Linked DNA regions of Saccharomyces cerevisiae S288C. The gene in region 2 interacts genetically with the main gene of each other region. Each region holds a gene or a part of one and is shown on either strand. Other genes may lie near its edges.

Region 1 (5,608 bases), on a different chromosome or scaffold from region 2:
TGGTGTTGGCGCTACCATTGTTTTTTTGTTTTATGAGTTACGTTTACAAAAGTTCTTAACATTTACTGTACGATAATATACTAAGGTGAAATACTAAAGTAAAATAAAATAAGAGAAAGAAAAAAAAAAAAAAAAGAAAAAAGTAATGATGATGTTCCATAATTGCAGAATTAATAACTACTTAATAACTTCTCAAATTGGCGAAGGCGCGTACGGTCTGGTTTACCGTGCCTTAGATATTCGTACCGATAGACAATACGCTATCAAAGCGGTTGTTCAAAGTTACGGTGTTAGCAAGGAGGCTGATATGGGCAATGATAAAATACACAAAAATAGCGTGAAATTGCAAAAGAAGCTCGCTAAACTGTTCAAGGAATCGAAAAACGTTGTCAGGGTGCCCTCTATAGATCTAGAATCAATTGAGAATATGTCAGAAGAAGATTTTAAAAAGCTGCCCCATTATAAAGAGATTTCGCTACACCTAAGAGTCCACCATCATAAGAACATTGTCACCATACATGAGGTGCTACAATCTGCAGTCTGCACGTTCATTGTCATGGATTATTACCCAACAGACCTATTCACGTCTATTGTAGATAACAGACATTTTGTCACTAATGGACTGCTAGTAAAAAAGGTTTTTCTACAGATCTGTTCTGCTCTTAATTATTGCCATGAGCACGGCATCTACCACTGTGACATCAAGCCTGAAAACTTGCTACTGGATACAGAAGATAACGTTTTCCTATGCGATTTTGGTCTATCCACTACTTCCACATATATAAAGCCAAATGTTTGCATTGGTAGCTCGTATTATATGCCCCCTGAAAGAATCTCATTTGATGGGAGAGTTTCCAGCTCTAAAAGTGGGGGACATAAGTTGGGTAAGGTTTGTCCCTCATGTAATGGCGATTTGTGGTCATTAGGTATCATCCTTATCAATTTGACATGCATCAGAAATCCCTGGCTGAAGGCTGACAAAACCGAGGATAATACCTACTATTATTTCACTAAGGATCCCAATATACTAAAGCAAATCCTACCGCTTTCCGATGACTTTTACTCATTATTATCTAAGATTTTACAAGTGAATCCGAAGAATAGAATGAGCTTGCAAGAGTTGATGAAAGAAGTTAGTTCTATTACAAGCTTCACCAATGAAGGCCCGTTATCAAAAGTGCCGCCTCTTTCCAAGTCTGTTTATGAAAAGTTCGTTAGCCCCGTCGATAACACGAATGAGAATTTGTCTCCAAAATCCTACGTGTACATGCACGATAGTAAAGCTGCCAAGAATTTATCTTATACATCTTCAAGTGAGGAAGAAGATGGAATCAAAGAAGGGATAGACGATGATAATGGCAGTCGCAGTGGCAGTTTCGGAACGCTAGACACAGACACTGGATTGCATTCTTCGTTCACAAGCACTTCTTGCGAGTCCGATAACGAATGTTCTAAGATTTCCAACAAATTTTCCTTGTTCGAAAAAAAATTCAACGAACTTCGCATGAGTTCCTCTTCTTTAACTAACTAACCCCCTCCTTTTTGGCACAAAAGTGTACTACACATCTGTTTTAAGCCCACAATTGATAGACCTTCTCTTGATGATCATCTGTTTTCCCGAAAATATTACTTGCCAAAGCAAGTTGTAGTTATATTCACACTTCCGTTATGACCCCCTCATCCGTTTAATGTTATTTGTTTTTATGGTATTCCCTTTATTCATTTTTTTTCTTGCTTTTTTTTGTTGATCCCTGTAACCCCTTTTTTTTTTTTGGAAGTTGCTATTATTATTCATTCACATTTGTTCTGTCTTTGTTAATTTTCCAGGTCACCGTATTTAATTTCTATATAACTGTTTCTAATATTTACTTCGTTTTATCCAAGCGTTATTTACTCAATATTCAAAACTTTACTTTTTACCACCTGTATAACATCTTTTTCAATTTGATAAAACGTTTTGAAATCTAAGGGAACAATGTCACAGTCAGTTTCGTCGTTGATGTCTGGTAACTCCAGATCCCTGAATTGAGACTCCATCATATCAGCTTTCATGAAATGACCCTTCCTTGTTTTGAGCCTTTTCAGAACTTCTATTTTACTTGCATACAAAAAGATAAAATGGAACTCCGATTCAGGGCATGTGTGCCTAATCAAATCTCTGTATTTCTTCTTCAAGCTCGAGCAAGCAACAATTGACAAATGCTCCTTAGTGCTTGCTGCAGCTTTTGTAGATTCTACGGCAACTTTTTTCAACCAGTCCCAACGGTCGTCGTCATTTAATGGAATCCCTCTTGTCATCTTTTCTACGTTGGCAGGCGGGTGTAAATCATCACCTTCGATGAATTTCAAATCCGGGTATATATCTTTAAATTCATGGATTAGTTCACCTGCAATGGTTGATTTTCCTGTACCTGCAGTACCTGCCAATACAATAACCTTAAATTTCCCCATAGTTTTGTGTTTCTCTGTCATCAACTGCGTTGTCCATCCATACGCTTACTGAGACACTATGAAAGCCTGTTTAGTCTTCGGAAAGCTATTTATTGCTTGCTACTTGAAAACCTTTTGATTATCGATATTTTTTAACGGGACCTTATATAATTATTGCTTGGAAACTAACGGTGTTATAATTTTTGACAAACTAATTAGCGACGTAATGAAAGCAGAAAAACCGCAAGAATATGAGAAAGGGAAAATATCAAAGAAAACAAAATATATTCCTTATATAACACCATCTTTTGTACATAAATGAATTGGCAAGCACATATTGTGCATGCATGCAAGGGGCAGAATCTTAATACTAAGTAATTTAATTATGCAAACATAACCCCGTATTGAGGCCTTCCGCCGCATTTAACGACCAAATCTATGAGTTTTAAATCAGACACCCGCCTTAACAGGTCCCATATAGTGCTATCAGATAAAAGTTCGTTTTCTGTCAATGATGGATTGTAATAATATTTCAGGATAAATTTCTCTATGAGCTGTAATCTTGATCTATTCTGCAAAAAAAACTCAAAGTTCAGACTCCCTAGTGAATCAGCATACGTGAAATATAATAAAAATATTACAGTCGTAAGGGGTTCAATAGACGCTAGTTTTTGCACTGTAGATCCAGAGACGTATAGGATTAAATCTATTGATTCAAATAGAGAAACAAAGGTAAACTTAGGGCTTAGGTCAGTTCCTTGCATATCAATACCTTGAAAAAACCATTCTATAAAAGGGGATATCACATCATATGGATTCTTCAAAGTAAAATGATTACCTAGAGACTTCACACATTCCCTACGTGTTAAAAAAATATGCATATTGTTGTAAAAGTTTTTAGGGAAGTCTTCTTTCGATGTATCTTCAGTGTTCATTGAACACAAGTCTAGCTCTTTAGATGTATCAAAATCGCCATTCTGCATATCTTGATAGTGCTTTCTGGGAAGAAAATGAGAAATATTTTTCAACAGGATAGGATGATGATCTAGTAGTAGTCTAAAAAAAGTTTCATGCTCAAATAATGTAGGGATCACAATATTTCTTGAATAAGCTTTTATATTACTTACGCCAAACTCCAGGGGATCGAAAAGATATTTTTCCCACATGATCTTCGATAATAATGAAAAAGATGGCTTCAAGCAACTATAGAAGAACCTGTTCAAGGTGACCATCGACGGTTCACCCTTTGTGAAAACGAAAATATGTTGAATAATCTCTACAGGTAAATCTTGCAAAGTTAGCTTTTGATGATGCCTAAGTTTCTTCGCAGGAAGCCTGATAGTCCTTTGATCTTCCGATATTGGCCTCTTGGATGAAACCCGGGTCTCTAAGAGATGCACATGGTGCTGCAAGTTTATCGAAGACGATGCATACCGATGCAAAGGAAGTGCATGTTTCTTTCTCTTATCATGACGGCTAGAATATCCTGTCAAAATATAACCCATGGCCACTTATTCTAAAAATACACTGCGTGAAAAAAGCACTGCTTACTTTAACAACATTAGTCCTCTTTAAATATATTTCATTACTCATCGCAAACTGAACAATTCTTGATGCTTAATTCTTACTAGCTGCAAAAAAGACAAGATGAAACGCGGTGTATGGTTGGACGATATAGTCTTATCCTAAATACACACAACATATATTGCGTAATAAAGAGATCTTCCTATCTATAGCACAATTTGAAGTTGAAAAGGCGTATCTAAAATGCTAATACTAAACAAGGCATCATGTTTTTGTCCCATTCACGTAGCACTGGCGATTTGCTTCCATATTCTTCTGTGTACAATAATAGCTTGGGTGGCTTTTTTCACAATGGGCTCTACGCGAAATTGTCGCAGCCCCCTGTTGGCCGTGCTGTGGGCCATTCTCGAGACTAGAATGAAACAGAAATCTACAAACATGAAAAGGTAGAGTAAAGTCGAGTAAGTAGTAGAAAAGAAAAGTGATATTGGCATACACGATAGCGAAGTTGTTCATATCTATTATCACCAGGCCATTCATTAAAAACTTACCGCTAAATTGAAAAAGAGGCGACTGCCAACATACTTGCCCTTTTTTTTTTCGCTATTATTAGTGTCCTTTGATTACAAACTACATCCATTCGAAAAGCTTGTAACCAACACTAAAGTCTGTGATTCTACCCAAATATTTGCTCTCCGTCATTTCTATTCTGTTTGAACTACTGTGCATATATTTTTCTTTTTGTTTCCTACATTTTATTCCCGGCATATCTCGCGATAGGTATATTGAATAATGACATCTGCATTAAGGGTTTTGGTATGCGGAGATCACCCAAATCTCATTCTGTACACATCCAGGTTTCAACATGCCAAAAATATAGAATTTTATCTTGTGAACAACTCAAAAAATGCCAACTACGAGGTTAGTTCACTATTTTATGGGACGGAACGGTTTCAGATTCAAAACCATTTCCAATCGCTCCTAGATTTAGTAGACCTTAATAATGAAAATGGTGGCTTGGTATTCGACTTGATAATAATGAGTGCGTCTTCACTGCAAGAAATCCCGCAGGTATTGAGAGATATAAAACCTATGATGAATAAGACAACAAAGATACTATTTGAAAGTAGCGGGTTTATATATTTGGAGCCATTCATCAAGGCTTCAGTTGATCTTTCGCTGTCAAATATTTTCAGCATTTTCACCGATTATGACATAAGACGGTTGGACAATGGCTCATACAAACAGTTCACGACTGCAAATGCCAAATCCTTTTCTGTTTCGATCGGTCAAACGACATCCGTTCACGAAAACAGCTATTCAAGTGATATTATTCCTATTTTGAATACATTTCAGAAATTGTTCCAAAAACTGTTTCCTAGGGACGTTGTGACTCTTTACGATCATTCTCCCTCCGCTTTCTTGGCAAAAGAATGGGAACTAGCTTTGCCTCAAATATGTTTCGATCCATTATTAATAATATTAGAAGAGAAGAATCCATCAACCTTGGATGACCACGTTTTGGCCAAACCTCTTATTTCAGGTTTACTAGGCGAGAGCTTATTAATAATAAAAAAAATGGGTATAGCCATGAACAATCCAAATTTTCAAAATGAACAGACTATATTGAAACATTGGAAGAATAAGTGCGAAG
Region 2 (4,703 bases):
AATGTTAGGCAGTGCACCTGCCAAGGGACCAACCCGTGCTTTAGGAGAGTTATCGCTGAAGCACGTTTACGAAATAGCCAAGATAAAAAAGAGTGATGAAAGGCATAGTTTATTGGAGATGGAAGGTATTGTTAAATCAATAGTTGGCGTTGCAAAAAGTATGGGTATTAAGGTTGTACCTTGATCTGTAAGTAGTGAAAAGACAAAAAAGTACCGTCAATTTCGAGAAATTTTCAACAGACCTTCCTTCTTCTTTCTACTGATCTATTCTGTAAATATGTATATAAGTTTTAAATTCTCTTTCTCCCGTTATGTTAGCAAAGCTCGGTAGTACTGAAGCTATTCTGAGTAAACGCTTCTCCAACTCTGTATACTGAGAGTTGTTTTATAAGTCAATAAAGACCGGATATTTATATGTATATATTGATTTGGTATAATAAAAATGAAATGCTAATAAAAATGCCTATGAAAAGAGGAAAATCCAGGAATATCGAGTTTTTTCATTTGGTGAACTTCCTTTTTTTATTTTTTTTCCATTTTTTTCTGTTATTTTTCTTGCTATTAATCTTCAATGGGCGGTTATTTGGTTCGTTAACAGCCTGTTCCTGTTTGGATTTAGAGGTAACATTACCAGTGGCCATGGCAGATTTCGCCAATGGCAATGGAACCGATTTTGGAGTTAGCCTCGTGTATAGGAGATAATATGCGTTGGGTTCCTTTAAAACGTCCCTTTCAGATATTATATTAATATACTCGTCGTCGTAAGTGGCCCAGCTACCGTCTGGTTGCTTGCAGTGGGCAATGTAGTGACCTGAAGAAAGGGAGCGGCCCTCATGAACCACCACGCTTAATAGTTGGTATTTGACAGGTAGCTCTTTACTCTCACAATATTCCGTCAAATCTAAAAACATAGGATAAGAAACAGCTTGCTTCATTTTTGATGAGGACGTGCCATTGAATCTGAATTTTTTCAGATGCACAAGTAAAGTTTCAGGAGCCCTTAATATTGAACTATGCTTCACGGCGTTCGTGGTCTTGTGACACTTCTCACAAACGTAACCCTTTTGCTCCTTGTCAACCTTGATTAATTCGGGATTGAAGAAATCTTTAATTGATTTTTCAATAGAAAATCTGCGGTTGGCTGAACTTAAATCACTGGCAGCGGCAAATGGTGAGCCATTGTTTAAATTGACAGATGAAGAGGATGAAAGAGATGGTTTTGTGGCAGCATTGGAGGTAGTGGTAGAAGTGGTGGCTGAAGTGCCGTTAATGCTATCACTCGACAGGTCAGAATTTGGATCAAGTTTTTTCTTCCCTTTCAAGTGCAACGATAAATCGTAAAATGGTTGTTCTGTTTTAGATATACTGCCACAAGATTTGCAAGTAACGATCTGCTTTAAAAGACCACCGAATATGTCATATATTATCGATTCTATAAGTTTATGACCCTTGGGAACAGAATCTTCCTGTAATCTTGACATCAGAGACATGAAGTACTCATGTGAATCTTCCTGCTGCCATTCGCTCATCATACAATTAATGTCATCCAATCTGGAAATCAAATGTTTTGGATTAATGTAGGAAGCTGAAACGTTCTTTCTAGGGTTTTTTGAGACCGGTAACCACATTTTTTTACTTGTTTCAGCTAAAGTATAGGAAACGGAATTTTTTGAGATGGTGCTATCGTATTTCCCCATTAGTATATCAAAAAGATAATGTTGTATCGAAGGAATGTGTAACATAGCCTGTACAGCAGCATTTGTGTAACAAGTAACACCATGATTCAAAAGGCCACGAGGCTTCAAATTGGTGAATTTGTCGCCCCAATTTTTAACAATTCTAGTAGAGTTTAAAGAACCACGATCATTGATATTTTCATTGAATTGGTAAAAGTTTGATAGATTTGATATTGTAACCGGAGGGGTGATTGACCTAGATTTATGTTTCAGCTCTTCTTCCTCTTCTTCCTCCTCCTCTCCCTTTGGATTCCTGTTTCCATTTTCTTTGGTGTTGTTTACTGGTTCGTACCGATTTACTTCCACTGTACTATTTTCCATTAAATCTTGATATAAACTCTTTTTTTCGCCTTCAGAAATTTTGGAGCTGGAATCGTTCTCCTCTTCTTCAGGGAGCTCTTTTTCCATAGCACTAGAATCATAATCCATGTCATCCTCATCCTCGTCGTCTTCTATTTCGTCATCACTGCTAATGCTTGTAGACAGTTCCTTTCTTTTTTCCTTTTCATTCTCATTAGATGAATCATCAATGGTTGCTAATGGAGAACCCAAGTTTTCACCAATGTCTTCACCAATGTCTTCACCGATGTCTTCACCGATGTCTTCACCGATGTCTTCGCCGATGTCTTCACCATCGCCCTTATCTGCGTTGTCGCGTTCCTTCAAACTAGCTTTTCGGGGTTCTACATAGTCTCTTGCCTCATGAAATATTTCACCCTCTTCCTCTTCCTCTTTTCCTACTTTGTCATCTTCCGAAGAAGAGGAAGGAGGCTCCGTAGAAAGCTCCGTAGAAAGCTCCGCTGACTTCTTGGCACCAGTAGCATCTGCAGCATCTTTATCATTTTTAGAAGTATACAACAATAAAGCTTCAGCCATAGATTTAGGAACAGTGTTGGTTTTCTTTCCGTTTGGCCTGTCTATCAAGTTATTTTCTTTTATTTGCTTGGATTCGGCCGTTGCAGCAATAGCTGTGCTATTACTATTGTTATTATGCTGTTTTCCTATCACAATATACGAGCTATTTTCCGGCGCGGCGGAAGTATCATTATTATTCGATTTGTTAGAGATCATTGCAGCATTGAACTGCAGGGGATTTGATAGGATTCTATCTACCAAAGGTTTGATCGATTCTTGAGTGGTCATAGTCTGTGATTGTGATATGACAATAGGACGGATTTACAGATACTATGAGTTGTAGATTCTTTCCGTTAGTTTTTCTATGAAATATTATGTGCAGTACAGAACAAAAGAGGCTTCAGACACTATGCATGCTCCTGTGTGCAGTATATGATGCTTAATAGCTTCTATGAAACAAATAAAGGACAGAAGCGGGGATGGAAGACTCTGTTAATGCTTTACAGGGAAGTTTTTCCCGATGGTGGCACTATATAAAAATAAGAACTTTTTTCTTTTCTTTTGGGGATTTTTTTCGATGCGAAAAAAATTTTTTGACGGCATGAGGCAAGAAGTGAACAAAAGAGGTGGTGTCTGGGGGATGCAATTTAACTTCTTACTTGTGCGCGTTCATCGGAGAAAGCTGGCCGGGTGATACACGAATACGGGTTTGCCGTTTTTAGCCGCCGAACCTGCATAATGAAATTGTGCCCCCATGAGATAGGGCGAACAGTTCGGGATCCCCAGGACAATTCTTCACTACCGTGGCAGGAATAGTAGAATCAAGGTTAGTGCGCCACTCTGACTCTGGCGGGATAGACGTGATTAGTGGGTCTTCAACACTATTGTGTGAGGGAACACCTCCAAATTCCACAAGGTCTCGACCCCAGTTCAATATTGTTCCCTGCGGCGTCCCCATACTTAGTCCGTAAGCCGTATCTATATATGCCTTCAACTTTGCAGAGTTGTGGTGGATCCGAAACGGTAGGCGCAATACGTTAAGCTCGTGCTGCAGGTTTCGCCGATCGTAAATACTAATCGCGTCACTGTTGCGTCTGACAACGTACACGTAACGCCCGTTATCGCTTGTAAGGATTTGTACAATCCCACCTGCAACTGTGCGGGTGTAGTTCAGTCTCTCTAGTCGTTGATGACGGCAGTCTACCTGAAACATTTCATTCGCATAACTGCCACACAATAGAGATCCTCTTGAGAGAGCTTGCCCTCCCATTGGTTGCTCTTCAAAGCAAGATATAATGCTTTGTCTTCCCTTGCTTGCTTTTTTGGTACTCTGGTTCATCCACACGGCATCTCGTCTGCTCTTGTCGTATATCGCCACTTTGTTACGGCATGAGCCAGTGTATACACGAGACTCAACATCGATTTTCACACTGTATACAGTTTCGTATTCTCCATTTATTTTGTTCATCGTGTCATAGCTGAGGATACACTGCCCGTCCATCAAAGAGTATAGTTGTAGAGGGAAGTTTTTTCCTCCAACCACGATTCTGTCACCAGCTAACCTGTCGGAATTCTCGTTATAAAGCGTGTAAAACGGGTCTATTGCACATGAAACAATAGACTGGTTTCTAAAAAACCTTGTAAATGGTAGAAGGAGGTTTCTGTTTAGCTTGTCCGTATTACTTTCCTCCGGCACTAAATATTGTCTGATGCCAAAATCATTATGCACAGAAACAAACGATGTACCATCACATGACCAAAAGATATCTTGACATATTACCTTCTTTTCCATTCTGAAGTCGTCTGTCATATTGATATATGGTGATTCTCCTAGTCGTGGATACTCGTATCCACTTCGATCACTTTGAGTCCTTTTTAACCATTCCTTATCTTCTCTTTTCCATACATTCGCTATCGTGTCAGCCTCGAACACTTCGCCAGTGTCGCAATACGGAATTGCATTCATTCTTTCATCATTTTTTCTATTCAAGGACTCATAATGCCCTTGTACCATCTATGTTTATGGAATATGCGGTCTGTCCACCACCGATTTTTAAGTGCACGCTTTTCTTTTTTTGCTTAATTTTCAGACCGTGATAATACTCTCTTTAA

Evidence for each region. Genes that interact genetically often act in the same process or in processes that back each other up.
Region 1: of UBP10 (region 2) and YDR249C, a mutation in one rescues a mutant of the other (synthetic rescue), as found in Saccharomyces cerevisiae (2 studies listed by BioGRID, with this or other methods).

The regions. Positions count from the first base shown.
Region 1 is NC_001136.10:955,868-961,475, forward strand, and holds YDR249C (uncharacterized protein), read right to left. Parts: upstream 3,936-5,608; coding exon 2,814-3,935; downstream 1-2,813. Other genes in the region: putative serine/threonine protein kinase VHS1, read left to right, coding at 146-1,531; YDR248C (gluconokinase), read right to left, coding at 1,891-2,472; PAM1 (Pam1p), read left to right, coding at 4,747-5,608.
Region 2 is NC_001146.8:287,674-292,376, reverse strand, and holds UBP10 (ubiquitin-specific protease UBP10), read right to left. Parts: upstream 2,880-4,703; coding exon 501-2,879; downstream 1-500. Other genes in the region: mitochondrial 54S ribosomal protein uL11m MRPL19, read left to right, coding at 1-184; SWT21 (Swt21p), read right to left, coding at 3,310-4,383. UniProt on the Saccharomyces cerevisiae protein: Deubiquitinating enzyme involved in telomere and HM loci silencing, which is the repression of chromatin structure which leads to a stop in the transcription of nearby genes.